4 linked regions of the Stegostoma tigrinum genome follow. The protein of the gene in region 2 purifies or fractionates together with the protein of the main gene of each other region. This does not show direct contact. Links are inferred from orthologs where the notes say so. Each region holds a gene or a part of one and is shown on either strand. Other genes may lie near its edges.

Region 1 (6,896 bases), on a different chromosome or scaffold from region 2:
AAGTCTAAGAAAGCTCTGGCACTGCATGGATCCAAAAGGAAAATTAAATTGCGCTGTGCACTACAGACAAAATCTTTCCTCCATGTTTCAGAACACTTCCCTGCCCAAAGCCATATAAATAAATAATCTACAGCATCCATTAAGTTCAAAGGCACCATGTGGGAGAAGGTCGAGCCCCAGAGGGGGTAAAAAAAAAGCCGTGCATTTGATATTTTTATAACCACTCTTCAGGATCAGGGTAAATGACAGAACCTAATTTCTAAACTGATACATGCTTCCTTACAAATGCAATTCCACAAAAACCAAAGTGTTTGAACCAGACACATCAAATCAAAAACATTTCAATAAAAAAGAAATTAAATTTTTGAATAAACGACACACCAATACTTATTATCCACGAGTGCACCCTACCTAATAAAGTTCTGTATCAGTGAGTGGATCAAAGTATTTTTCACATAGGCCTTTCTATTGCTTAAGTAATATTCATGCTTGTGTAACTTCACCTTAATTTACAACCAAAAGAAAACACTACATCACAACACTAAGTCAGGAGGTTTTAACTGGCACGATGAGCATAAATACAGTAATGTCTAAGAAACTATACCATTTTTCCAAAAGAGTATTTTCCAAGAACCCTGGTGGGACACAGCATTGATCTGAATTGGCTATACTTATGCCTCATATTTTAATTAACCACAATGGCCTACTGCCTCTGAGGTTATTAGATCAATGTGGTCAGGTCCTCAGAGTACAACAGCAAGCCATGACAAGGAAGTATTTTCACACAAAAATATGGTGTTATTAAAACTTCCAGTTGGCTATGTACTGTTTCAACCAAATAAACCAGGAATAATATTTACACAAAACATTGTCTTGGCATGGAGGCATTTCAGTTGAGGGTCTTCCCTGCTAATCTTTAGTAAAAGATTCTTATTATAAAACTAGGAATAGTTAGTTTGACAACAAAAAAATAAACTTAGCAGAACAGGAAAGCAATTTAAACAATATGTTATACTAAAGCTATTACTTGTGAGAATTTTTAAACAGAGCTGATGATGTAATGGTCATTTAGGCTAACATCTATCCATTATCAGCAGCATGACTACCCCAGGAAATGAGATGAGATTTCTGGGATTTAAAAGCCAACCACAACAAGCATACAAAGATCTTTTGCCGGAATACTTTGCTGAGATAATAGTCATACACTTTATACTATCCATATTAATGACGTGTTTTTAAAAAGGGAGTTTCTTCAACAGAATAGCAAGTAAATAGAATGCCCTGAATGAGCATATCTGCAAGTTTATTCATCAAATAGAGCTTGTAAATGTCTTCTAACCACTTGTTCAAACATATGATTCCACACGCTTGGAGTAGGTGAGACTTGTTATTGAGGCGTAAGCCTGTTAAAATTAAGAAATCAGTTTTAGTTCAGATACAGTTGATTTCAACATCTGTAGACCAAGGAGGAAACTTTTCTCTTCTAATCGTCATTCAGCAAGCCCTACTGTAAAATACATGAAATATTGGGCAACAAGTTTGGGCCGGGCTGAATTGATCACAACAGTCAAAGAGTGAAAATATTTATAGTGTCTAGACTTGCATGAAAAATGACCATTCGGGCAAAAGAATGGAAATCTGCCAAAGTCTGTGGAATGACAACTCAGCTTAAAAAAAATCTGCCTGAGGAGAGTAACGTGTTGTTAATTGAAGACAGCTGTTTATCCACAACTTGCCCTGGTCATTTTTCAAAAGATATGTATAAACTGACATATAAAATAAACTTTTATCAAAATTACACCTGCTGCATATATTTTCAGTAATTTTCTTCCCAGCTGGATGCTGCAATTGCTGGTGCTGCCATATCTACCTTTACATTTTAGGGCATATTACACAGCAGCAGAAACAGTTTTGCAAGCACAGGCAAGAAGTCTGGCCAGTTGTAGCAGGCATAACGTTCCAAAAGGGAAATGGAAGAAAACATCTTCAAGTTGTTCTCTATACTTAGAGTAGTATTGCTTAATTTACTGCACAGCACTCCCAATTGCCATCAAGTATTTGCTACAAAGGACCTCTGAAAGACTTCATTACAATTATAAAAGCATAAGCACATCTGAACAAAGAGAAAGATCCATTAGCATCGCCAGACTTCGATCTCAGTTTTGCACTCAGTACTTGCTATACGTCATTTGTACTAGGCATGCCAGTACACAATAAGAAACGCAAGCTACAATTATCTAATCAAAAATACAATGAACAGGCTTCAGGTCCGTTCCAAATTTAAACACTCTTTATAGCCTTACAGCCTGCACAATTACCTAATCGTCTCCACTCTCCCGAACCCCAATAAATTCACAGCCTTTGCCATATTCTTAATTGTATCCAACTAGTTCCTGCTACACCCAATTGTCGTGACTCCTCTTCTACCTTTATCCTCTCCTCGTCTCTCCTTCAGTTCACTAAAATACTGGAATTTCGTTCCTTCTATCAGTCACAGCCCACTTTCCCTAAAGCCTCCACCCCATTTGTTTAACTGTTCTCTACCCCCACCCGTTTTCGCTCGCCTGGACCTCTCTATTTCCCAGTTTTTTCTCTTTCCCTCCAAATCTCCACCCTCATCTCCTCCATCCTAATTCCGACCAGTGACCCGAAGCATCCTGCGGCCTCCGTTTTCCGGACGATACTCAGTCACCTCTCCTGGTACTCCTTTCTCTCTACTATCCCACCGTCCACACCACTGCCCCCCAAATCTCTGCTTCCTCTCCCGCCCCCTCCCTCTACGGACTCGAACTTGGACACTCTCTCATCACCACTATCCTGAAAGATCACACTCACCAAACCATGCCATAAGCTCCCTCCCCGATGTAACTGAGGTTAGTGTATCGCGGCCCGGTGTCGAACACCTGCCCACGAATCACTTCAGGCCCGGTTGCGCACTGAGGCAAAGTAGGCGCAGCAGCCATCTTACTCAGATCATCCGGAATGACCAAGGATCGTGGCTATTGGACAGGCAGGCACATGTGACAGGGAGGAGGTTGATTGGACCACATTGAACCACCTGATCCAGAACCAGCGGTTAGCGATTCGATTGGATGGTGCTGGGCACGTGACTCAAGGCGGAGTGGGGTGATTCAATTGGACGGTGGTGGACCACGTGGTCACAGCCGCGGGAGCTACGATTGAACGGACGAGATTTGATCACGTGATCTAAACGAGCTGGGGTGTGCTTCGATTGGACGGTGGTAGGCCATGTGATCCAAAGTTGAGGGACGACGGTTGAATCGCCGAGTTTGATTTCGAGGTGAAGAGCCAAGGGAGGGGAAATGAAGTGTTCATATTTTATGTAGTGACCTGTTTCCAAACGTTTCCTGAATCTTACAGTTAATGAAGTACTTGTGAAGCAAATTTAATGTGTTGAAAGAAAGAGCGATTTTTATGCACAGCAAGAACCTGTACAAAGCCTTAGGGTAATGACCAGGAGGGGTATGTTTTTATATCGCTCACGGGATGAGGCTGTCGCTGGTCAGACCAGCGTTTATTGCCCATTCCTAATTACCCAGAGGGTAGTTAAGGGTCAACCACATTGTTGATGACACTGAGCTGGGTGGCAGTGTTTGCAGTAAGGAGGATACTAAGAGGCTGTTAAGTGACTCTGACAGACTGGCCGAGTGGGTGAATATTTGGCAAATGCAGTGTAATGTGGATAAATAGTATCAGAGATAATGGGAACTGCAGATGCTGGAGAATTCCAAGATAATAAAATGTGAGGCTGGATGAACACGGCAGGCCAAGCAGCCGAAGGGTCTAGGCCCGAAACGTCAGCTTTTGTGCTCCTGAGATGCTGCTTGGCCTGCTGTGTTCATCCAGCCTCACATTTTATTATTAATGTGGATAAATGTGAGGTTATCGGCTTTGGTTGCAGAAACAGGAAAGCAGATTATTAGCTGAATGGTGGCAATTTAGGAAAAGGTAAGGTGCTGCGAGACCTGGGTTTCATGGTGGAGTAGTTGCTGAAGGTGCAGCAGGTAGTGAGGAAAGCTATTGGCGTTCATTGCAAGAAGATTTGAGCATAGGAGTAGAGATGGCTTGCTCCATTTATACCTTGGTGAGGCCACGTCCTAGTCAGAGGAAGGATAATCTTGCCATTGGGGAAAGTTCAGCAAAGGCTCACCAGACTGATTCCTAGGCTGTCAGGACTGACATATGAAGAAAGATTGGATTGACTGGGCTTATATTTACTGGATTTTAGAGGAAGGAGCCTCATGGAAACATAAATTCCTCATGGGACTATACAGGTTAGCTGTGGGAAAAATGTTCCCAGTGCTGGGGAAGTCTAGAGTTAAACATCACAGTCGAAGAATATGGGATAAGCCATTCAGGACTGAGATGAGGAAAAACTTTCTTCACTCAGAGCGTTGTGAACCTGTGGAATTCTCTCCCACAAAAAATTGTTGGAGCCAGTTCATTAGATAGATGCAAGATGAAGCTGGATGTGGCCCTTGAAACTAATGGGATCAAGGTGTATGGGGAGAAAGTGGAATGGGATACTGAAATTGCATGATCAATCATGATCGTACTGAATGGTGGTGCAGGCTTGAAGGGCCAAATGACCCTACTCATCCCTAATGCACCTACTTTCTATGCTTCTGTGTTGTGAGTCTGGAGTCGTATGTAGACCAGACCATGAATTCCACGAATTCATGGTGGCGTTCGAACCCAGGTCCCTGAATATTACCTGGATCTCTGGATTAACTGTCCAGTGATAATACCTTTTTTAATTTCAAAAACATACTTTATTCATTAAAAAATATCTTTTATACACATATAGTTACAAATGCAGTTCAGTTCTGTACAGTAGCATATCAAGGAAGTAAACAAACATTGGAGTTTGACCGTATCCAAACAAACCACAGACGTCTCTTACATGTACAAGACTATATTTACATGCATTTGAGGCACTAGGAGGGTCTCATAATTGAACAGACACCTGTTTGACTTCAGAAAGACCTCAGACAGTGGCGTCATGGCAGCAGTTGCCCCAAACTTTACAATATCCCTGAGCACATAGTCCTGGACCTTGGAATGTGCCAGTCTGCAATAGTTGTTCTGGAAGACCAACAAGTTTTGGGCAGACCAAAGAACGTCTTTCACTGAATCGAGGGCTCCAGGTGCAGTTGATGTTTGTCTCAGTATGGGGGACAGACCATAGAGTACAGAGTCCTGTGTCCCAGAGATGCTCAGGATGAACCTTGCCAAAAACCACTGTGTCTTTCTCCAGATTGCCTTTAAAAAACCACATTCCAGAAGGTGTGTGATAGTCTCAACGTCCCTGCAGCTGCTTCGACCGCAGCATGCAGTGGCGCAAACCAACTAGGTGTACATGAAGGATCTCTCAGGTCGTGCCCTTCTTACCATCAGCCAAGTGATGTCTTGGTGCTGGTCAGAAAGTTCTAGTGATGAGGCATTCTGCCAAATGACTTTGACAGTCTGTTCAGGGACCCACACGACTGGATCCACCCTCTCCTTTTCCTGCTGTGTCTTGAGGATGCTATGTACTGACCACTTCGTGATTGACTTGTGGTTTTTATTTTCTTGCAAATTTCTCCATGAATGACACCACAAAGCCATCACATCCCCTTTTTCAGCTGGCTAGATTGTGATGTGGATTGATGCCAACAAGGCATGTTCAGTTTCAACACGGTTGAGGTTACCATGAAGGTCCTACCTTCTCAACCTCTCCCCTCACCTGATGCATGGTGACATCTGGTTAAACTACCACCAGTCATTCTCTCTATAACAAGAGAGCAACTGTACAGTCTTCTGGCAACTTTATCCTTCCAACATAGGCAGTGTATTTCTGATCCTAACTACTCACTGCCCAAAAAGACTTTTCTTCACGTTGCCTTCAACTATTTTGCCAATTGCCTACAAGCTGCGATCTCCAATTCCGGATCCTTCCACCAAAGGGAATAGTTTCTCTCTCTTCTTGAGACCTTCATTATTTTTGGTTTGGAGCTGAAGGCTATCTTTGATCTGTCAGCAGCAGCATTTTTTTTTAGAAAGGGAACAACCATTTGAACATTTGTTCAAACAAAAATATTTGTTTCAGACCAGGCCTGGAAATTAATTGCAGTTGGATTCTTCTTCAAAGTGCTGTAGAGATATTTTGGTCCCAAAGATGCATTACTCTCAAACAGATGGTAAATGTTTGGATGTAGATGGGGCCTCATGGAGTTATGGTAGCAGTCAGCCTAAGAGAAATAATGTTAAGAAAATCCAAAAGAGAAACTAAGGTTTGCACAGATTTTGAACTGTGTTTTTGTCACTATGATTATGGCTGCCAAAGCTACAGCAAGGATGTATGACTACAGTATTATTATTGTCCAATTACCAATTTATTGAGACTTCAGAGAATAGAATTTCAGTCATAAGAATTAAGCGACTTTCCCTTGGAGCTTACAGGAAACTGTTTGCATTGATCGGTGTCTTCAGAAACCAAGCAAGCTGCAATCCTATGCACCTGTGATGCTACAGGGTGGAAACAGGTTAAATGAATTTGCCAGTCACTTTTCATCTGTTTTTTTTTCTTTTAATTTATCCTTTAACTGTGTCTATCTGCTTTTGTGCAAGTGGAGGTCTAGAATCAAAGAAGATTGGGTTTAAATTACTGTTTTACCTTGTTTAACTTTGCTCTGCTAAAGCTACTGTGTAATTAATATTTTTTAAAATTATTTTAGGTTATGAACTGTGAGGTATTCAAAAATTCTGGTTATGAATCATTGGGGCAATTTTGTGGGTCATGGAATATTCTAATTTTACTGTGTTGTGAATACGAGGAAAGGGAGGCTGATTTGATTTGACTGTCAGCCTCCTTCTGTAACACAATTCTGTCTAAG
Region 2 (7,883 bases):
ATGTATGAACTCACACTCCTCTACATTAACTGGCATCTACTACCATCATCCCACTCCACCAACCTGTTCATGTCCTTTCAGGCTTTACACAGTTTACAATGCTTCTAAGTTTTGCATTTTTCATAAGCTTTGAAATTGTCACCTACACACCAAGATCTAGATCATTAATACATACACATGTCCCAATAATGATGCCATGGGGAAATCCTCCACAAAGATTTTACCAGCTCATAAAGAGTCCATTGGCAATTATTCCTCTGTTTCCTACCACTGAGCCAATTTTTGCATATTCAAGTTGCTACTTTCTCTTTTATTCTATGTGAACTAAGTTTGATCTTAAGCCCTTTTTGCAGCACTATATAAAAAACCTTCCAGCAGTCCACATGTAACACATCGACAATGTTACCCTCATCAACCCTCTGTTACCTTTTTGAAAATCTCCAGAAACTTATTTAAACATGATTTTCCCTGAAGAAAACCTTGAGGAACCACATATATCCATAACTAGTCACAGGTTCTCTCATAAAACCTCTACATTCATTCTATCACTTTAGCCACTTAACCATATCCTGTTTGTCAGTCAGAAGATTGAATTTTCGCAGTCATTCTTCCAACTTCTCTCGTAACTTCTGCAGAAGGTTTGTAGGGAACACTAAAGAACAAATTAAATGCTACCGACACCATGTCTCTATAATATCCACAAGTCTTCGACAGAGGTAAGAATAAATAATGATCAAACTCTCTGCAGAACTATAACTCTAGGTCTGCTTTCTTTCTTATCTCATTACTTTTTCCTCCTTCTTTCTTGTAGTTTATCTTTTTTTAAATGTTATCCTTCAGCAACATTGTCCTATCCTAGTGAAGGACCACATAGAAAACCTAACTCAAGTGTTTTGTCCACAAATAGTGCCTGGCATGTTGAGTGATTCCAACATTTTGCTTCAAACATCCAGTACCTGCAGGTTCATTTTGTTTGAGCTGCCACATGCCTGCAGTTTTCAGCCTATTATCTTTCCTCTGTAAATGACACTGAAATCATATTCAAGAACCAGCCTTATGTAGTCAGAAACAAAGCATCTGGCACATGTTTGTTGATCTGGTACTTACTCAACGAGATGGTTTTCACAATTTGAATACATTCCTCGCCATTTTACTTCCCGAACAATTGTGGTTTGATACATTCAGCAAGTCTAATGATTGCAGATATAAATCTAGTCTTAGCCTGTGTGATTCACTCAGTAGCCTGGAGGGTGACTGGAGGGTGACTCAAGCTTCCTTAAACTCTAAAACCTGTCCAATAACAAGTTGTAGCCTGATTCCTTTTAATGGGATAAGTTAGTGTTTGGTATCATCTTCTTTAATTTTCTCTATTAGAAATCCCGCAATGTACATTACAATATTGTGTAGGATCATGTCACTGTGCTGACTAGAGAAATGTAATATCTAGCAGTGCTTAGATTACATCCTCAAATATTACTGTATGGCTGGGCAATGACTTACAGTTAATGTTGCATTGATTCCATTAAAGTGGCAAATGAAGCAACTTTGCACAGAAGCATAAAGCCAGTATAAACGAATAATGGTCAGCATTTATAAATTGATAAATCCACACACAATTCATATAATTAATTTTTAATAAAAGGTCAAAATGCCTGATTAAATATGTGCTCACCATCTTATGCAATGTCTGGGTCACCACCTTTTGCCAAGTCCAGGAGAGACAATCAAGACCAGACAGAGGGGAAGGACTGTAATCACAGCCCTCTTGCTAAAGTTCCATTGAAAACCACTCTTAAAATAAAATCAATCCCTCCATATCGTAAACCACAATAAAAAGTGGAAAACTGAACACTTTTTTATTTCAGAAAGCAGACTTCAGATCCCCAGTCATATTCTGAAAGATTTTCAGACAGCTTACTCAAAAAAATGCAGACAAAGCACGGCTTATTTAGAAACTGCCATTAAGCCAGTGTGCCTGACACTCACCAACTGATAAATAAAATATAAACCCGGCCACAATCAAGTCATGTCAGTGTTGAATTATTATGACAGCACATTCAGAAATCTCTAACTCAGGATTTGACTAACTGAATCAGATCTTCATCATATTCCTTTCCATACCACAACCAGACTCACTAAATATCAAGTCAATACGTCTAATTAAAAAAGAAGTCTGAAGGCTTATACACTGCTGCTAATGTTATACTCTATGAAACAATAAGGTATAACCATATTAAAGGCTTTACATAGGTCTTGGCTTTAAGGGTTAAGCATGCACTGTATAATGACTTCGAGAAGATGTTTCACCTACATGGTTCGCAGCAACTACAGTAACACATTGGAAAAGTACATCAAAGAAATGGATATTTACCAGTTGAAGAATTTGGTCAGCCGGCCTGCTGTTTACATTGTATTCATCAAGATTAATCATAGGCAATACATGTGTATCAACTCTGTCAGCCTGAGGACTGATCTACCCTCCTTTGAGCACCTGTGGCTGTAAGTGTAGAATTTTTTTTGGCAAGTGATGGTCCTTGGCATTTGGGGAGGGGGGAGGGGCGGAGGATGGAGTGCGTCAGAAGTAAACCTTACGCTGCTCTCTGTTATATCTCCCGATCCAGAGAAGACAAAGGATACTGTTTCTGCTCAGTGAGCTAAGATGCTCATCGAGGTTGGTGGAAGAATGCTCCGGATATCACGATTCATCGACAAGTGTCTCGGAGCAGCTGCTGTCTTCACGCCCACATCCCTGATTAAATTGTGAAGGTTTTTTTTCTCTCTTCTCCCCCACGTTTCAAGCTCTCTCCCATTTCTCTCCCTTCAACTCAATTGTTTGCCGAACAGGACACTTTCAAAGCCCACCCACACACCCACACACACACACACACATATAGCACATGCTCTTTTGAATTAAACAGAAACATGAATGGAAAACTCATAAGGGAAAAGAAAGGGCAAACAATGCCAGGAAGAGAGAGCAGCTTACTCACAAACTGCTGCTGTGTGCATGAGAAAGCACCGATATAGTTCTAGTGAATTCAAACTGTATCTCTGTGCAAAGAGAAAATCTCATTAATGCTGCAGGAGAATTGCACACAACACGATAGGGAAAAAAAATTGACTCATTCCTTCCATGCACATTCAAAGAAATCTACTCAGCAGCTGCCACTTTTATAAATATACTCATTGGATTGATGCATGGTGGCTCAGTGGTTAATTCTGCAGACTCCCAAAGACATGGGTTCAATTCCACTCTCAGGCAATTGTCTGTGGGGCATTTGCACGTTCCCCCAGTTTCTGCTAGGTTCCTCCCACAGTCCAAAGATGTCCAGGTTAGGTGGATTTTCCAAAAAAAATGCACGGTTACAGCGGTGAGTGGAGCCAATGGGCCAAATTGCCAAAGGGGATAGGTCTATCCCCTCCCTACCTCCCCACCTATACTCTCCTCTCCACCTATCTTCTTTTCTCTCCATCTTCGGTCCGCCTACCCCTCTCTCCCTATTTATTCCAGAACCCTCACCCCATCCCCCTTTCTGATGAAGGGTCTAGGCCCGAAAAGTCAGCTTTTGTGCTCCTGAGATGCTGCTGGGCCTGCTGTGTTCATCCAGCCTCACAGTTCATTATCTTGGATTCTCCAGCATCTGCAGTTCCCATTATCACCTAATTATATTGCTTGTGTTTTGTAAATTGTGAGTTTTTACACATGAAAATAGATTTGAATTGCTCATACTCATAAATCAGGAAATGGGGATAGATAGAGTGATAAACAGTGCATCATTCTTCATCCATTTGTGTTTTATATTGACTCTTCTAGAGAAGGTAATAAGAAGACTAAACAGATTGAGGATAAGAGGTGTTCTGTCATCTCCCAGAGGTTAGACAGAGCGGATGAAGAATACGCGCATGAGAGCTGAGCACCAAGTGACAAGGATTTGGGTTGGTGAAATAAGTCAAAATAGAAGATGTAAAGAAGGGTAAGTTGGGTGAGGAGGAGATAGTGGAACAGTGAAAGAGGATAAGTTCCAAGAAAAGTCCCAACTGATTGGAGAGGAAATGGGTAGGGAAATACTGGCCAATTTGGTGATTACAGTTGAATAGACTGTAATGTATGCTTGTCAGGTTTATGGAAAAAGTATATTTTTCAAAAAAAATTGGACTTCTGTTTAAATTTAAATTGCATAGAAAGCATTTGCTTCTGCCACATTTATTTTGTTTGCTAACGTCTGGCTGCAGTCTGATAAATATCAAGGCAGCAGTTCGTGCTGAGCAATGGTTGTGTGTTTGGTGAATGGAGAGGAAGTAGGATAAAGGATGACTGGTTGTTTGCGGGATTACTTTGTACTGTGCGACGGTATTAGGTGGAGAAAAGTGTTTTCTTTAATGTAACAGTCAACTGAGAACTCAGTATTGATCATTTATTGGTCAGGAAATTGGGCCTTTTGCACTCACAAATGTGATCATGGATGGTGTGTTTCCTTTGTGGTGCTAGGGTCGGGGATATCACGTTTTCAGCTGCGAAACACTTTGAGGGAAGAGGGTAAATAGCCAGAGGTCACATTCACTGTTGGTCCTGACAACAGGACTGAAAAGTTAACTGAGGTCCTGCAGAAATTTTTATACTGTTAGGATGAAAACTAGCAAATAGGACCTCTCAGGCCACAATTTCCAGATTCCTCATGGTGCCAACTCACAGTGGGCTTTGAAATAGTTGAACGACAAACATGAATGTATATCAAGAAAAAAGGCTTTAGATTTCTGAGACATCATGACTGTTTTTGATGGATACGGGCCCTGGAGAGGCTAGCCAGGTTTTACTTCACCAGAGTTTCTGGAAAAGCTCAGCAGGTCTGGCAGCATCTGTGAAGAAGAAAACAGAGTTAACGTTTCGGGTTCGATGACCCTTCCCCAGAACTCAAGAACTCACAGAACTTCACTTCAACAGAGCCAGGATCAGTGTCCTTGAGGAACCGATTTGCTGGGGATGATGAGTAGGGGTTAAACCAATGTGGCAGTTGAAAAGGAACCAAGATGCAACATTCAAAAGGAAGAACCAAGTTACAGAAAAGATTGACAGCACCAGAGTATAAAATAACGATATACTTAGTGGGGTAATACTGAGAGGGAATGCAGTATGGTATTAGTTAGGAATATAAATGTACAAACAAACAAGAAAGGGATAAGAGATAGCTATTCTGCTCTTAAGCCTCTTCCCCCATTCATTAAGATCATAACTGATCTGATTTTAACCTTAACTCTATATTCCTACATACCCCGATGATCTTTCGACTTACTGGTAATAAAGATTCTATTTAGTTCTGCCTTTAAAAAACCTAAAGATTCTGCATCCAGTGTCTTTTGAAGAAGAAAATTCTAAAGACTCCCAACCATCTGAGCTTAAAACTCTTTCCTTAACTCTGTCTTAAATGGACACCATATTATTTTTAAACTATGACCCCGGTCCTAGATTCTCCCACAAGAGGAAACATCCTTTTGATATCCACCCTGTGAAGTCCGTTCAGGAATTGTATTTCATATTTCAATTAAATATCCCCTGATTCTTGGAAACTCCAGGGATACAGGTCTAGCCTCTCTAGTCTCTCCTCATAAGGCAATATGCTTATGTTAGGTATTAGATTAGTAAACATTCTCTGAATTTCTTCCAATATATTAACATTCTTCCAAACGTACGGTGAACAGTACTATACACATTTCTCCAGATGCAGTCTCACCAATGCTCTGTATAACTGAAGAATAATTTCCCTACTTTTGCATTCAATTTCCCTCACAGTAATTAGGTTTACTGATTTACTTGCTGTATTTGCATACTAACCTTCTACCATGCACCCGGACACCCAGAACGCTCTGCATCTCAGAGCTCTGCCAACTCTCACAATTTGGTTAATATTCATCTTTTTCATTCTTTCTTCCCAAATGGACAATTTCCCACTTTCCTACATTGTATTCCATTTTTCAGATCTTTTCCCACTCACCTAACTAGCCGTATCCCTTCACAGGTTCCTTGTGCCCTGTTCACAACTCACTTTCCTACCTATCTTTGTGTTATCATCCAAATCTTTTGTATACATTGTAAGGTCTTAAGGCCCAAGCACTGACCCCTGTAACACACCTGCCATGCCAACATAACATATAACATATCTTATCATCATAAGATACAGGAGCAGAATTAGGCCGTTTGGCCCATCAAGTGTGCTGCACAATTTGACCATGGCTGATATATTGCTCAAACCCATTTCCCACCTTCTCTCTATAATCCCTTGATGCCCTTACTAAACAAGAACCTATCAATCTCTGTCTTAAAGACACTCAATGACTTGGCCTCTACAGCTCTCAGTGTGACAATGAGTTCCACAGTTTCATTACCCTCTGGCTGAAGAAATTCTTCCTCATCTCAGTTCTAAATCATCATCCCCTCACTCTGAGGCTGCGCCATTGCATCCTAGCCTCTCCTACTAGTGGAAACATTTCTCCATGTCCATTCTGTCCAGGCCTGTCAGTATTCATAAGTTTCAATAAAATATCCCCTCATCCTTCGAAATTCCATTGAGTACAGACACATTATCCTCAACTGCTTTTCCTGCAGTAAGCCCTTCATTCCTGGGATCATTCTTGTAAACGTTTGCTGGGGATGATGGGTAGGGGTTAAACCAATATGGCAGTTGAAAAGGAACCAAGATGCAGCATTCAAAAGAAGAACAAAGTACAGAAAAGATTGAAAAGGACACTCAGCACCAGAGTATAAAATAATACGAACTGCTCCAAGGCCAGCACATCCTCGCTTAACTACACGGCCCAAAACTGTTCACAATATTACAAATGCTGTCTGACCAGACCCTTTTACAGCTTCTCCCTTTGTATTCTAGCCCCCTTGAAATTAATGCTAACATTGCATTTGCCTTTCTAACTTCCAATTAAATCAGCATATCAATCTTAAGAGAATCCTGAACTAGGACTCCAATGTCACTTTGTGCTTCAGATTTCTAAAGCCTTTCCCCTTAGGAAAATGCCTATGCCTCTATTCTTATCACCAAAGTGCATAACCTTACATTCTCTCACATCTTATCCCATCTGCCACTTCCTTGCCCAGTTGCCGAGCCTGTCCAAGACCATCTATAGCTTCCCCTGCTTCCTTGACACTATCTGCCCCTCTAACTATCTTTGTGTCATCTGCAACACTGCCTTCAGCTCCTTCATTCAGATCATTCATGTATTACGTGAATAGTTGTGGTCCCAACATTGACCCCTGCAGAGTTCCATTACTCACTGGTTGCCGTCCTGAAAATGACCCCTTTATTCGCACTCTCTGCCTTCTGCCAGTCAACCTATCCTCTATCCATGCCAGTATCTTGCCCTTAACACCATGGGCTCTGATCTCATTTAGCAGGCTCCTGTGCAGAACTTTGTCAAAAGCGATCTGACCTTCACTATTTACACAATGAGCTTCTATTTTCCGCAATAACTTTTGATGTAATACCTTTTCAGATGCCTTCTAAAAGTCTAAGCGCAATAAATCCACTGGTTCCACTTTGGCTACAGCACAAGTTATTTCTACAAAGTACTCCAATAAACTAGTTAAGCATGATACCCCTTTGAAAAACCATGTTGACTCTTCCTGATTGCCTTAAACTTATCTAAGTGCCCTGTTGTGACATCTTTAATAACAGCTGCAAACATTTTCCCCATACCAGAAACATTAGCATTACTCAGAGTACTTACAGTGCGTATATGTGCACAAAACATTGTACATAAGGTTGGTGAGCTGCATGTTTGAAGAGCCAAACAGCGAAGCTGAGATCTGAGTCACAACTGGCTGGACTGAGTTCTGGATATTCCTGGATACAGGGTGTTGTGGAAAGATATAGAAG
Region 3 (7,191 bases), on a different chromosome or scaffold from region 2:
TGAACAGCTTTTTGAATTTTATATAGGTTGTACTCTAACATTAAAATTTTTCTGCAGTGTCTGTGAATATTTACTGCAACATTTACATCCAAAGGAAACCAAGTGTGATGAGAGAAAACTACTGCTTAATCAATTGCTCTGCTTAACGCACTGCCGGTTTCCTGTCTCCTAAAAGACTTAACAATACTGATGACAGTATTTTGTTCCCACTTTTGTGGGGGAAAAAATGAATTAAATAGCACAGAAACATTTGGCTCAAATGAAATGCAGTTAAGCACTCAGGACAGAATCCTCAAAAGAAAAATCTTATTTCTTTTAAACTGAGGGTTGAAGCATTGATTCAACATTTCATTATTTCAGCAAAATAGTTTTACTGATGTTCGACTAAAAAAACCCATTTCAGGTTTAGAACAGGTCAAAATTAAGAACTACAGTGGCATGTAGCTCTACTTTCTAATTTCTTATTCCCTGAATTTCTTTTCACTTTCTAGTCTGCACTTTAAACTAACTCGTCATCTCAAAATAAGACTGCCAAGACCTATGATAACTAGGTGTGGGGCTGACATTTCGTCTAAGCCTGAAACATCAGCCTTCCTGCTCCTCTGATGCTGCTTGGCCTGCTGTGTTCATTCAGCTCTAATCTTGTTATCTCAGATTCTCCAGCATCTGCAGTTCCTACTATCTCTGTTAAGACCTATCATGGATTTTACTACATTTAATATATCCATGGATTTGCTGTACTGGCAAATGTGTATATGATAATAATAGCAAATAAATGTATGTGCATTCACCACAACACATCACAGCATCTCAGGGCATCATGGGCTGATTGCAAATGATGAAACAACATTACTAGACAAGCTGACTTATCAACTCACCAGTACCATCCAGCAATGTGACCCAAACACCACCACAAGCACATTAAACAGTACCCCAAGAAATGCCCTGCCAAATGGATATTGGATCCTTCAGCAGCTGTCACTCTGAAAAAAAACTACTTTAGATGGTGCTCATCATCATAACCAATTGTGTGAAAAGAAAGTAAGTGACTAACACAAATGAGATATCATGCAAAATCAATGCCACAGATAGAGAAGAAATCTAATTTGCAGGCAGAACTAATTTGTCATACTCTTTAATTTCAGTTAAACAATGCATTAGTTGCCCACAATTAGCTTCCCAATGTTGCAGTCAAAAAAATCACTTAAATTTTCGTATTTCCAAAATGAAAACACCCACGATCTGCTTCTGCACAGCGACTTGTTAAGTTTAAAATACTCAGTATTGACACCCAAGCTTCTCAAATCAGAGCGTTGGTAGAACATCAGGACTATTTCAGCCACTGACCCAAGCAGTGAAGGGTATTCTTTTACTTGCATGATGAATATTGTAGACAGATAGGCATCTATCGGAAGCGTAATGAAATCAATATTTGTGATGCTCAGCACTCGCGTTTACATATATATGCACATTTTCCATTTGTGTTTCTGTTTGTTCATAAGGAACCTTAGAGGGTCAACAATCTCAAACTTGACCAAATTTTGTCACTCATCTTTTCACATTTTTTCAATTGGTAGAAATGATCCACCTCATTTGTATAAGTCCTTCCGCAACACTACCCAACTCTGTAAGCATCTAGTTCCATACTCCAGCCGTCATTGCTGCAGTTAGGCTCCTATTGACCCCACAATTCTACTCCACTGCTAATGGTAGCATTTCATAGTTTTAAACAAAAGCCGTTAGCGAAGAATGTGAATTTAAGGCTCACGTTAGGTTGAAAAGGATCGCAAGATTCATATTTAATACTCATATACAAAAATAAGAAACTATCCAAATTGTGCAAATCATTAAGTTATAAACTGCTATCAAACTACTCGTTATTTCAGTACTGTGCCTATATGGCGAAGCAAGCTACAAAAGGGTCGAAAGCAATGCCGTTCAACAATAGAATTTAGTCAATAAAAGTATTCCCATGAAAATGAAACTTGCAACTATAAATGCAATAAAGAGCAATTATTGTGGTTAAGAGACAATCGCTGTATCGACTGAAAGGATTAGACATGCTATCAATATACCACAGGGTTTAGAATCAATCCACAAGGGAAACTGATCGGTTAAAATCCAATGGCTTTTCTTAATAAAAACCGGAATTAGAACTATACAGTAAACTTTCACTGCTGCTTTACCCCTTTTGTTGCACACGGTAGGCGGCCTCAACAGTGGAGAAAACCAATGCATCATGCAAAAAGTTACTGAGCAATTTGTTTTTGACTAGAGTTGAACACGTTTTGTCAAGCCCGCTTAAAGATTTTGCACACAGAAAACGTTAAAAAGTGCAATGCGTGCACCATAGCGTGCGGGAGTCCCAATGAAACAGACGCCAAACATCCTAATGGCTCATGAAGAAAGTGCGGGCCTAGCTAGGCCTGCAGGGGTGCACAGCTGGCAAGGCTGCTTGCAGCTCTTGCACAACTTTCCCACAACTTGGGGCAAAAACAGAAACCTGTGCGCGGCTCCGGGAAAAATTAAAATAATTGAAACCAGCGGCGGCACACGTACCAGACGGAGCCGTAAGCCCCAGATCCGACGGGAGAGAGGTTCTGGTATCTCTCCGGCACTTCCCAGATTGTCTTATTCAACTCTTGCTTGTAAAAGTGCGGCCTGACTCCTGACATTGTGCAGGGAGGCTGTTCTCCTCTCTTAGAAAAGGGGAGGGTCGGAGGTGGTTGAGGGAGGCGGGTGGACGGAGAGAGGAAGGGGAAGGCGTCAGGGTGCGGAGAGGAGTTGCTGCAAAGAAGAATTTAAAATTTTGAAAGAAACCGCCCGTTCCGTATCTCAAAAACGACTGACTTGAGGAGGTGGGCGGGGCTGTTATGTTACTCCTTTTTACAATCCCGATGTGGAGAAAGTAAAATCCATTCAAATGAAGTGGATCTGTAACATCAACACCCCCCACGGGGAATGGCATCTGACACCCGACGGCTCGAGCTGCTCCACTTCCCTCTTCGGACGCGCTGGCGTCATAGGCCCCGCCCACAGCCGCGCGCCCTTATGCGCGCGGTATGGTTCGGTCATTGCGTTATATCATTCGCCCACACCCCGGGCGTCGGCGGAGCGCGGATAGACGGGCACGCGGCTCCGTCCTCCCAACGGCCAGTGCTGTTGTTCGGCCTCATTCGTGCCTTTCCGTTTCGCTGCTCACTATCCTTCCGTTGTCGGCTGCTGTATATCGAACGCTTGCGTTTTAATAGAAACAAGAAGAAATTGCAGATGCTGGAATCCAACGTAGACAAACAGGAGGCTGGAAAAACATAGCCGGCCAGGCAGCATCTGGAGGAAAGGAGTAGTAACACAGAAAGCCAGGCAGTATAGTCTAACATGCCACTGACACTGTGGAGGTGCCGCTGAAAAATGATTTGTGGCAGAGACAGACAGACAGGCACAAGAGCACAAACGACGCATTGAGTTATTGCCCGCACAGGTGCAAAAGGATAGCTGTTAAGTTGTGAATTTTAAATCTGAGGCCGATAGGTTTTTGTTCGCGAAGATTGCCTGGGACGATCGCAGATAAGATAACAACGTTTAGGGGGCATTTACACAGACACACAGTCAGAGAATAGACAGATGAGATGAGTATAGAATGGAATCATGGTCAGCACAGACTTGATGGACTGAGGCATGTGTTCTTATGTTACATTGTTGTATGTTCTATATATTGAGGGTTAAGGGACTAGGTCACTGAACCAGACATGGCTTCATCTATAGGCTTACTAGGCTGAGGTGAATTTGATTGCCTTTTCCTGCCCCTATATAACTTTTATAGTCTAATTTTGCAAAGATCAGTTGCTGGATTGAGATTAATGAATTTATAGCAAGCTGCATTAGACGTACCTGTATGCAAGTATTACTATATAATATATAAAGACTGGATGTCATATCGAACACTTGCCATTTTATATTTTTATTAATACTCTGTCCTACATTTCTATTGTGGATTCATTGTAGGTAGGGTTGAGAATAAATACAGCACACTTACAATTCCCTACATTTAGTGAGACAATATAAGTAAGCATGCACACTGTTGGAGAAACTGATGATCATCTGGTGTAGTTTGCATCATACTGCAGACTGTCTGCAAGTTTGAATTCCTGATATCCAAACTGATAGGTCCCGCACCCCGCACCAGTTGTTTATGTCTCCTACCCAAGATCATAAATCCAACTGACGACCCATTGTCTCTGCCTACTCCGGCTGCATTGAGCTCACCTCCCACTATCTTGATTCCATCTTTTCCCCTTTGGTCCAGGAACTCCCCACCTACATTTGGGACAATCCACACCCTCCACCTTTTCCAAACCTTTCAATTTCCCACCACCCAATACCTCAACTTCACTGTGGGTATGCAGTCTCTGTACACCTGTTTTTACCACAATAATAGCCATAAAGGACTCCACTTCTTCGTCACCTGTAGGGCCACACAATCCTCGTCCACTGACACTCTCATTCACCTGGCAGAACTGGTCCTCACCCTCAACAATTTTCCTTTGACTCCTCCCACTTCATGCAAAATAAAGGGGTGGCTATGGGCACTGACATGGGCCTGATTTATGCTTGCCTCTTTGTAGGATTTGTGGAATAGTCCCTCTTCAGCAATTACACCGGCGCCATCCCCCATGTTTTTCTCAGTTATATTAATGATTGGTCCTGCCTCATGCTCCCGGGAGGAGCTCAAGCACTTCATCAGCTTCGCCAGCATCTTCCATTGCACACTCAAATTCACTCGGACCATTTCTGGCACCTCTTCCCCCCCTGGACCTCTTCCTTTCCATCACCAAATAACCAGCTTACCAATGACATCCAATTCAAGCTCATTGACTCCAACATTTACATCTCCACTCGTCCACCCTCCTGCAAAAATTCTATCCCATACTCACAATTCTTCCACCTCCACCACATCTGCTGCCAGAATGAGGCATTCAACTCTAAGACTTCCCAGATATCCTCTTACTTTAGAGACTGTAGTCTCCCCTCTCCTCAGGTCAGGAGCTGAGTGGACCTGGCGGAACCCAAATTGGGCGTCACTGAGCAGGTTATTGCTGAGCAGGTGTTGCTCGATAGTACTGTCAATGACACCTTCCATCAATTTACTGATGATTGAGAGTAGAGTGATGAGGTGGTAATTGGCCGGGTTGTATTTGTCCTGTTTTTTGTGTACCCCACATTACTGGGTAGAAACCAGTGTTGTAGCATTGCCAGAACAGCATGGCTAGAGGAGCAGTAAGTTCCGGAGCGCGAGTCTTCAGTACTATTGCTGGAATGTTGTTTGGGCCTGTAGCCTTTGCAGAATCCAGTGTCCCCATCCATTTCTTGATATCACGTGAAGTAAATCGAATTGGCTGAAGACTGGTATCTCTAATCCTGGGAACCACTGGAGGAGGCCAATATGGATCATCATTCAGCACTTGTGGCTGAAGATTTCTGTGAATGCTTCAGCCTCATCTTTTGCACTGATGTGCTAGGCCAGTGTGGATGGTGATTTTTGTTGTCCCTACTCCTCCAGTGAGTTGTTTAATTGTTTGTCGCCATTTACGAATGGATGTGGCAGGACTGCAGAGCTTAGAACTGATCTGTTGGTTGTGGGTTTGCTCAGCTCTGTCTCTCACTTGCTGCTTCCACTGTTTGGCATGCAAGTAGCCCTGTTCGATACCAGGTTGATACCTCATCTTCAGGCATGCCCTCCTACACTTTCCATTGGACCAGTGTTGATCCCCTGGCTTGATGGTAATGCCTGAGTTGTGGATATCTCGGGCCATGAGGTTACAGATTGTGCTGGAGTACAATTCTGCTACTATTGATGGCCTATGGTGTCTCATGGAATACCCAGTCTTGAGTTGCTAGATCTGAATGCAGTCTGCCCCATTTAGCAAAGTGATAGTGCCACACATCATAATGGAGATTATTCTGAATGTGAAGGCAGGATTTTGTCTCCACGAGGACTGTGCAATGGTCACTCTTACCGATACTGTCATATACAGATGCAACTGCGGCTGGCAGATTGGTAAGGATGAGGTCAAGTGTGTTTTTCTCTCTTGTTGGTTCCCTCACCACCTGCCGCAGTGCCAATCTAGCAGCTATGTCCTTTAAGGCCCGACCAGTTCGATCAGTAGTACTGCAGCTGAGCCATTCTTGTTGTGGACAATGAAGTTCCTCACCCAGAGTACATTTTGTGCCCTTGCTATCCTCAGTACTTCCTCCAAGCGTTGTTCAACGTGGAGGAGTACTGATTCATCAGCTGAGGGAGAATAGTACATGGTAATCAGCAAGAGGTTTCCTGAAGCCATGAGGCTTCATGGGGTCCGGTGTCAATGTTGAGGACTCCCATAGCAACTCTCTCTTGACTGTAACCAGTGTGCCACCACCTCTGCCGAGTCTGACCTGCTGGTGGGACAGGACATTTCCAGGCATGGTGACGGTGGTGTCTGGAACATTGTCTGTAAGATATGATACAGTGAGTATGACTAAGTCGGGCTGTGTCTAAACGATCTGTGAGACGGCTCTCCTAACATTGTCACTAGCCCCCAGATGTTAGTGAGGAAGACTTTGCAAGGTCAGCAGGGTTATTTTTGCCATTGTCTTTCCTGGTGCTTTGGTCAATGTCAGGTAATCTGCCCAGTTTCATTTTTTTAAGATGTTGTACCGACTGGCAGAGCTGAGTGGCTTGCTAGGCCATTTCAGAGGGTAGTTGAGAGTCAGCCACATTACTGTGGGTCTGGAGTCACATGTAGGTCAGTGTTAAATGACAACAGTGAATCCACATGAACAAGGGAATTTGCTGCCAAATCTATTAGGCTGTGAGGTGCAGAGTCCTCGACACAGTATTAAATTATGCCCTTCTCAAGGTCGACAGGGTTGCTCTTGTCGTCTTTTCCGACATCTAGGTCGATGCCAGGTAATCTGTCTGGTTTCATTTCTTTGAGACGGTGTAGCAATTGGCATAACTGAGTGGCTCGCTAAGCCATTTCAGAAGGCAGTTGAGAGGCAACCACATTGCTGTGGGTCTGGAGTCACATGTAGGCCAGTGTTAAATGACAACAATGAATCCATATGAACGAGGGATTTTGCTGCCAAAAATTTTCGGCTGTGTGGTGCAGAGACCCCGACACAATGTCAAATTATGCCCTTTGTCTACAT
Region 4 (7,211 bases), on a different chromosome or scaffold from region 2:
TTCTTGACTGTAGCATCTAAATGGGATGTCCAGGAAAGAACGTTTGTTATTGTCACTCCTAGGAACGTGATGCTCTCCACCCCCTCCACCTCCATTACGTAGATAGGGGCGCATTCTCCTCTTTTATTCCTGAAGTCAATTATCAGTTCTTTAATTATGCTGACTATGAGGGACAGATTGTTATCATTCACCACGACATCAAGCATTGTATCTCCTTGCTGTATTCTGATTCGTAATTGTTTGATATCCAGCCGACAACAGTGGTGTTGTCAAACTTGTAGATGGTGTTTGTATGAAATTTGGACACACAGTTGAGACTGTACAGCGAGAAGACAGCTGAGAATGCATCCTTTTAGGGTGCCAGTGTTGGGGATTGTCATGGAGGAGGTGCTGTTTCTATGTTCTTATAAACCTCTAGAAAAGGTCAGGAAACGTTTAGAGGAATATGAGCCAAACATAGGCAGATGGCACTACAGGGTTTTTCCCTTGTATCATGCTTGACATTTTTCAATCCAAAAGGCACAATTCCTGAATTGTCTAGAGTCTTGTATTTGAAGATTTTTGGCGCTTTACAGGCTACCTTTGGAAAAGTGCTAGTGAATGAAGTGTCTTGTTGAGACAGAGGCAACCTTTGTAGGTCAGGAGAATATGGAGTCTTATAGTACTGTGCAATTTCTAAAAAGATAAAAATTTCCTACACTACATTAAATTGTGCAAGCCAACAAAGTGTCTCTTCACTGAGTTAATGGACTGTAGTCAGATCATTACTGTAATGATTAGTTTTAGTTTTCTTGAGCTAAACAAATTAGAAAAGGAAAAGTGAAGGATATAGTTGTTCTGAAGGAGGCTCACTGGACCCAAAATGTTAACTCTGATTTCACTCCAGATACTATCAGAACAACTGGGTTTTTCCGCATTTTCTTTTTCTGATTTCCAGCATCCACAGTTTTTCCAGTTTCTTTATTCAAAATATAGTAGTTTCCAATTGCCCATCAACAATATGCTTGCCTTGTGCGAGCAGACATCCAGTCCCTGCACATGTCTCTTTTCAACAAAAAAATGATCTTTAAGTATATCCTGTATTAAATCTCATGAAATAATGTTAAACATTGAGGGTATCGACTATTATCAATAATTGGGACATCAGTTATTCCACTCTTCTATCCATGTACAGATCAGATTGTGGATGAAATCAAAGAAACCTTGGTCTGAATAGAACCCATTCAATAGGTAGATCCCTGGTGAGTAACTTGATGGCATCACTGTAGGGAGTTGATAGGATGATAATTTCCCAGAATAAACATAAGATTTTATAATCTTTAGGTGCATGACTATATTAGAGCTCTGTTGGAACAACTGTTTTGGGTAGCATCTGATTCTAGAATCATTGAATCCCTAGTGTGGAAGCAGGCCATGTGGCCCATCAAGTCCAGTCCAACCCTCTGAACAGCATCCTACCCAGAACTCTGCCCAACAAATAATTCTGCATTTCCCATGGTTAATCCACCTAAATCTGTACAACTCTGGTCACTATGGGCAATTTAGCTTGGCCAATCCACCTAACCTGAACATCTTTGGACTGTGGGAGGAACCTGAGGTACAGATGTTTTAATGTATAAACAGCATGTTATTTCAGGGGAAATGCAGATGCAGGAGAATCTGAGATAACAAGGTGTAGAGCTGGATGAACACAGCAGGCCAAGCAGCATCAGAGGAGCAGGAAGGCTGACATTTCGGGCCTAGAAACGTCAGCCTTCTTGCTCCTCTGATGCTGCCTGGCCTGCTGTGTTCATCCAGCTCTACACCTTTTTATCTCTGTTATTTCAGGCCGATTCTTTAACTGTGCCAACTAAACTCAGCAGCATAATGTCTCATGGAGAAAATAGATTTGGATGAGTACATGCATCTCTGATGATGGAAGCCTTAATGAGGAATTACCCATTCATTGAATTTGTCAGTCTGTTGCAAATAATGCCATCTTATTGGTGGAAGATGGGAATTTTAATCATACCATCTGTAGACACTTGGTTGTCCTAGCATTTTTCTTGACTTGCTGCAGTATGGCTACACAGTTTTGTTTTTAATCAACAGGCTGTAGTTTTACTTGACTGTGTTCATAGTCTGTTACTTTTAGTATTTTCAGCAGCCAAATGTGCACTTTCTGAGTTTGGTACAGTACCCAATTCCAGGGTAGATCTTGTGCTGTTTCTGTCACTTTGGCTTCAATGATGCAGTGAACTACAATTAGTATTCTGATTTCTTGGTGTAAAGGATGGGATAGACCACAGATTGAAAGATCCTGAATCATCCAATCTGCTGAAGGTGACAATGAGCCTCATACTTTTCTAGATTTAAGTTGCCAGCTCTGTTTTTACTTGTTTTCTCTTAGTACAGTGGTACATCAATTACATAAAATGCAAATTTAACATCGGTTTAACTTAAAATGTATCCCTACTTTCCTAAGGAGTTATGATTAGATTCCCTACAGTGTGGAAACAGGCCCTTCGGCCCAACAAGTCCCTTGAAGCATCCCACCCAGACCCATCCCCCTATAACCCACACACCCCTGAACACTACAGGCAATTTAGCATGGCCAATCTACCTATCTTGCACATCTATGGACTGTGGGAGGAAACCCACGCAGACACGGGGAGAATAAATACCCAACCGAGTGAATTCTGAATTTCAAGGTCACGTTTAAATTTAGATTTAAAAATAGGGTGCCAAATCCTCTACATTTAAAGTTTAGCAGGAAAGTCTTAACTTTATAAAAAGCAAAACTATGAATGATCCAGCCCATTACCAATATTTAAATTCGATACCAGCAGGCAGCAATAGTATGTCAAGTAATTTTACTAAATTAAATTTCATTTTTAATCTAGGGAAACTTAAACGGAGCATTAGAAGCTGTAGAACATTTAACAATCTGTGCTAATCAAATGAACTCAACTCTCTCCATCACCTTTAGACCAAGCTGAACCGGCGCCGCCATCTTCCTTCTCCTGGTGTAGGTCAACCCAAGGCCTTGCCGTCGCCGGAGGAAGACTTTCTACGCACGCGTGGCTGTTACCTCTAGGGACATGTAGGCAATTGCGGGGGACATATGCGCAGATGGCGTATCAATGCGAGGTAAGGACTGCAACTCCCGGCGTCCAGTGCGGAGAAAGGCGGCAAGCGGATTGGTGACTTACTCTCGAGAGGAGTCAACCTGGTCCTTCCGTATTTCCATCGAACGGATTGCATGACTGGGAGGAAGTCGATCCCTCAGAGGTTGAGAATTTTGTAGAACAGACTTTGCAGTCTTTATAATTGGCATTAACGGGAGGTTTTTTTTTAAAAAAAATGCTCGGTAATTATAGACAGGGAAGTTTTCTTATGGAGCTTAAAAATATGATTTGCATGTATAGAAAGATCCGAATTATGCTTTTTCACATTCTGTACGAAGTCTAATACCTTTAAATCGAAGTTTCGCATCAAAGTTAGTAAGGCCCTGGACTGAATCTGAACAATTTCCTGTATTCAGCTCGTATTTCCTCTACCTCATTTTTCCGCTCTCCCCGAAAAGAAACTACCATCACCACCAAATTCCCAATTAAATAAAAACAGTTTTCAGAATCCATGAAGAGAGGGTTGAGGGAGATTAGACATGTTGCATAAACGGGAAAGAGCGGAGTAATGGCATAGGAAAGGGAGGTAACGTCTGTTCTGGACCTAACAGTAGAACACAGTCGGCTCTGCTGAAAGCAAAACAAGAAAATCTGACCCTAAGGAATTGGAGAAATAAAATGGAGTACAAAGTTTTTTTTCTTAAGTTGTTGAACCCAGTGTCAAGTCCAGAGAGGTTACGTAGTACCTAAGTAAAAAATGCGATGCTGTTCATCTATCTTCTGTTGTGACACAGCGACAGGCCTAAGTTAGCTGTAGGCTTGAGAGGAAGATGGTGTACCAAGATGGCAAGCGGCTGTGAAGTAAAGGTCATGTTTGCAGACTCATCACAGCTGTTTTGCAATATGATCATTGTGTTTGGTCTCTCCGATGTAGAAGTCATAACATTGTGAGCAGTGAATACAGTAGACTAGATAGAAGCAAGTCCACAGTCAATCAGAAATTCACGTGAAAGGGGTTAGGATCGCCTATACAAGCAATCTTACCAGTATTATAAACTTTTATATTGAACCTTTTGCAAAAACACACTTTGTAGCCAATGAAGTAACGTAAAAGATAGGGAAATATGGCAACAAATTTTTACATAACAAAATTTCACAAGTAACAATGAAATATCAGTGCAGCACTTCAGAGTATTACAAGGAAGTGTAAGCTAGCTTTCTAAATTCGATGCTTGCGTCTGGGACAGAGTTAAACCCATAACCATTGACTCTGGGTCAAGACGACTCTCAACTGAGGCTGCTAGCTGATGTGGTGGGATAAGTTGTACAAGTGCAAAGGTAGACAAGCAAAATTAGAGTGTTTTTAATGGGGCACTTTAACTTTCATATATATTGGGTTAAGTAGACTAGGATATGTACTGAATTTCTTGTTAGATTTCTGCAGCAGTATGTTAGAGAACCAACAAGGGGTTTTGCCACATTAAGTTTAGCATTAAGTAATGAACCAAATTAGTGAACATTTATTTAATAGCACTCCCAATACCTTTGAATTCAACTTAACTTTTGAAAGGGTGAAACACAAAAAAGTACTAAGATTCTGGTAAGTCTGACTTCAAAGAGATGAGACAGAGACAATCCACAGTAAACAGAGCAATTTTTGTAATGGGTAAAATGGCAGTTGATCAACAAAAAGTGGTCAAAAACAATGTATTGCAATACAGGATAATAAAATGTGAGGCTGGATGAACACAGCAGGCCAAGCAGCATCTCAGGAGCACAAAAGCTGACGTTTCGGGCCTAGACCCTTCATCCCACAAAAGCTGACGTTTCGGGCCTAGACCCTGCAATACAGAACCAGTTTATAACCCGAGGAGACAATAAATACTTTCTGGGGGGAAAAAAAGACAACTAAAGAGGTAAGAGTCTGCATAAAACTATAAATATGAAGGAGCACAGATTCTGGAAGGTGCAGTAAGCGGAGCTCAATGACCAAAGCATACGGAAGGAGATGTAATACTGAAGGATGTTGCAGAAAGTCATGGTTAAATTTAAAATGTACAGTGTGGAAACCAGACATTTTCCAAATGATGTATGCTTTGTTTGATTAAGGTCAAGAGAATTTTGTTAGATAAGGATATCAAGCAATATGTCTGTCTTCCAATTGAATGTCCTCAATTCCATTCCTCAGTACCAGCTTGGTTGATCTTGGAGGAGAGTTGGAAAAGCCAGTCAACATGTAGAAAACAGCAGTACTCCTGGAGCAGATAGGGCCCTTGCTGAAATTCTGACACAGTATTGCAGACGAATTTAGCAACTTTATCAATTAGGGTCTGACCAGCTCGATCTGTAGTACTTCTGCCGAGCCACTCTCGGTGGTATACACTAAATCCCCCACCCGAAATACATTTAGTGCTGTTGCCACTCTTAGTGCTTCCTCCAAGCACTATTCACTGCATTTATGCTTGATTCAGACAAATTCAGTGATTGTTTTGAAAGGGAACTGGATAAACATATGAAAAATGAAAGACTGGAAGAGTGAGACTACATAAAAACTGCTGTTTTGGAGAGCCAGCATGGAGTCAATGGACTGAATGAATGCAACAGTCCTTCACTTGCTTAAGGCAATATTACAGCTTAAAATCCATGGCAGAACTAAAAAATGAATGGCAAAACACAGGAAATTCAAAAACTGCAGACACTAAAGATGTGGTTGCTTCAATGTTCTCAAGACCACCAATGCCCCAAAAGCAGTCAAGGACTTACCCTATTGAAATCCATACGGGGAGGGGTTCTCATTGGATAGGGAGGCAGTCAGTGCTGGAGAGCATATTTTGAAGAATGTTTTACCTGAGACTCTGTCTTCCAATTGAATGTCCTCTATTCCATTCCTCAGTACCAGCTTGGTTGATCTTGGAGGAAAGTTGGAAAAGCCATTCAACAGCTAGAAAGCAGCAATATTCCTGGAGTAGATAGGGCCCTTGCTGAAATTCTGGCGCAATATTGTAGACACAATCTAGCAGCTATATCAATCAGGGTCTGACCAGCTTGATCTATAGTACTTCTGCCGAGCCACTCTAGGTGGTATATGCTAAATCCTCCACCCAGAATAAATTTAGTGCTGTTGCCACCTTTAGTGCTTCCTCCAAGTGCTGTTCAACATGTAGGTGTACAGATTTATGAGCTGAGGGATGACAGTACCTTGTAATCAGCAGGAGGTTTCCATACCAATGTTTAACTTGAAGCCATGAGACTTCATTTGATCTGAAGTCAATGTCAACTCACTCCTGACTGTATACCTTTGTGTCACTACCTCTGCTGGGTCTGTCAGCCTGAGGGCCAAGACATATTCGGGATAGTGATGGTGGTGTTTGAGACATAGTGAGATACGATTCTGTGAGTATGAAAATGTCAAGTCTGCATTGTGGCTCTCCATTTTGCCACTAGCCACCAGATGTTAGTAAGCATGACTTTGTAGGGCCTATGGGCCTTTTCTGCCGTGCCTTTTCAGGTGCCTAGGTTAATTTCAGGTGGTCCATTTAATTTTATTTCTTTGTTGAGAGTCAACCACATTGCTGTGGGTCCGGAGTCACATGTAGGCAGTGACATTCAAAAGGATTTCATGGTTATCAGTAGATTCTTAAGTCCAGTTTTGTTTTATTAAATTCAATTTTTAACCATTTGCCATGGCAGGATTTGAACCTGGTTCCCCAGAAAGTTAGTTGAATTTCTGGATTAATAGTCTAGTGATAATGCTACTAGGCCATTGCCTACCTACAGCAGACACTGTAAGACAGCAGTGGAAGTACCAGCAGTGCCTTTTCAAGATCCTCCAAATCCAGTGGCAAAAAGTTCACTTCAAACTTAGGTTCCTGCCCCAAGCTAATGTTCCCATTCTGGTGGCATCTATCTGTCTTAATGACACTGGTTTGCTCAGTGGTGGTCAACACTTTGTTAAGCATCATTTAGTGTGACCCAGGAGCTTCACTATACCACAGAAGCCCCTTCTGCATTTGCTATTAAGGAAGATAGTGGGTTGAGAATCTACACAATATGTTGACTTCCTTCTCTGGACCATCATTGTGGCCTGCTGACGTTTAAGTTTCA

What was found.
Region 1: the proteins of ptpn5 (region 2) and mapk1 purify together in Homo sapiens (affinity purification with mass spectrometry; 4 studies listed by BioGRID and IntAct, with this or other methods). This does not show direct contact. The link is inferred for Stegostoma tigrinum from reciprocal best matches to the Homo sapiens genes PTPN5 and MAPK1.
Region 3: the proteins of ptpn5 (region 2) and mitogen-activated protein kinase 14 purify together in Homo sapiens (affinity purification with mass spectrometry; 3 studies listed by BioGRID and IntAct, with this or other methods). This does not show direct contact. The link is inferred for Stegostoma tigrinum from reciprocal best matches to the Homo sapiens genes PTPN5 and MAPK14.
Region 4: the proteins of ptpn5 (region 2) and atp5po purify together in Homo sapiens (affinity purification with mass spectrometry; 3 studies listed by BioGRID and IntAct, with this or other methods). This does not show direct contact. The link is inferred for Stegostoma tigrinum from reciprocal best matches to the Homo sapiens genes PTPN5 and ATP5PO.

The regions. Positions count from the first base shown.
Region 1 is NC_081379.1:44,398,447-44,405,342, forward strand, and holds the start of mapk1 (mitogen-activated protein kinase 1), read right to left. Parts: upstream 3,002-6,896; 5' UTR 2,964-3,001; coding exon 2,836-2,963; intron 1-2,835. UniProt on the Homo sapiens protein: Serine/threonine kinase which acts as an essential component of the MAP kinase signal transduction pathway. MAPK1/ERK2 and MAPK3/ERK1 are the 2 MAPKs which play an important role in the MAPK/ERK cascade.
Region 2 is NC_081370.1:8,063,042-8,070,924, forward strand, and holds the start of ptpn5 (tyrosine-protein phosphatase non-receptor type 5), read right to left. Parts: upstream 3,020-7,883; 5' UTR 2,991-3,019; intron 2,683-2,990; exon of another isoform or gene 2,372-2,682; intron 1-2,371. UniProt on the Homo sapiens protein: May regulate the activity of several effector molecules involved in synaptic plasticity and neuronal cell survival, including MAPKs, Src family kinases and NMDA receptors.
Region 3 is NC_081374.1:27,103,219-27,110,409, forward strand, and holds the start of mitogen-activated protein kinase 14, read right to left. Parts: upstream 3,024-7,191; 5' UTR 2,676-3,023; coding exon 2,560-2,675; intron 1-2,559. UniProt on the Homo sapiens protein: Serine/threonine kinase which acts as an essential component of the MAP kinase signal transduction pathway.
Region 4 is NC_081365.1:21,269,666-21,276,876, forward strand, and holds the start of atp5po (ATP synthase subunit O, mitochondrial), read right to left. Parts: upstream 3,008-7,211; 5' UTR 2,993-3,007; coding exon 2,951-2,992; intron 1-2,950. Other genes in the region: mrps6 (28S ribosomal protein S6, mitochondrial), read left to right, coding at 3,242-3,270. UniProt on the Homo sapiens protein: Subunit OSCP, of the mitochondrial membrane ATP synthase complex (F(1)F(0) ATP synthase or Complex V) that produces ATP from ADP in the presence of a proton gradient across the membrane which is generated by electron transport complexes of the respiratory chain.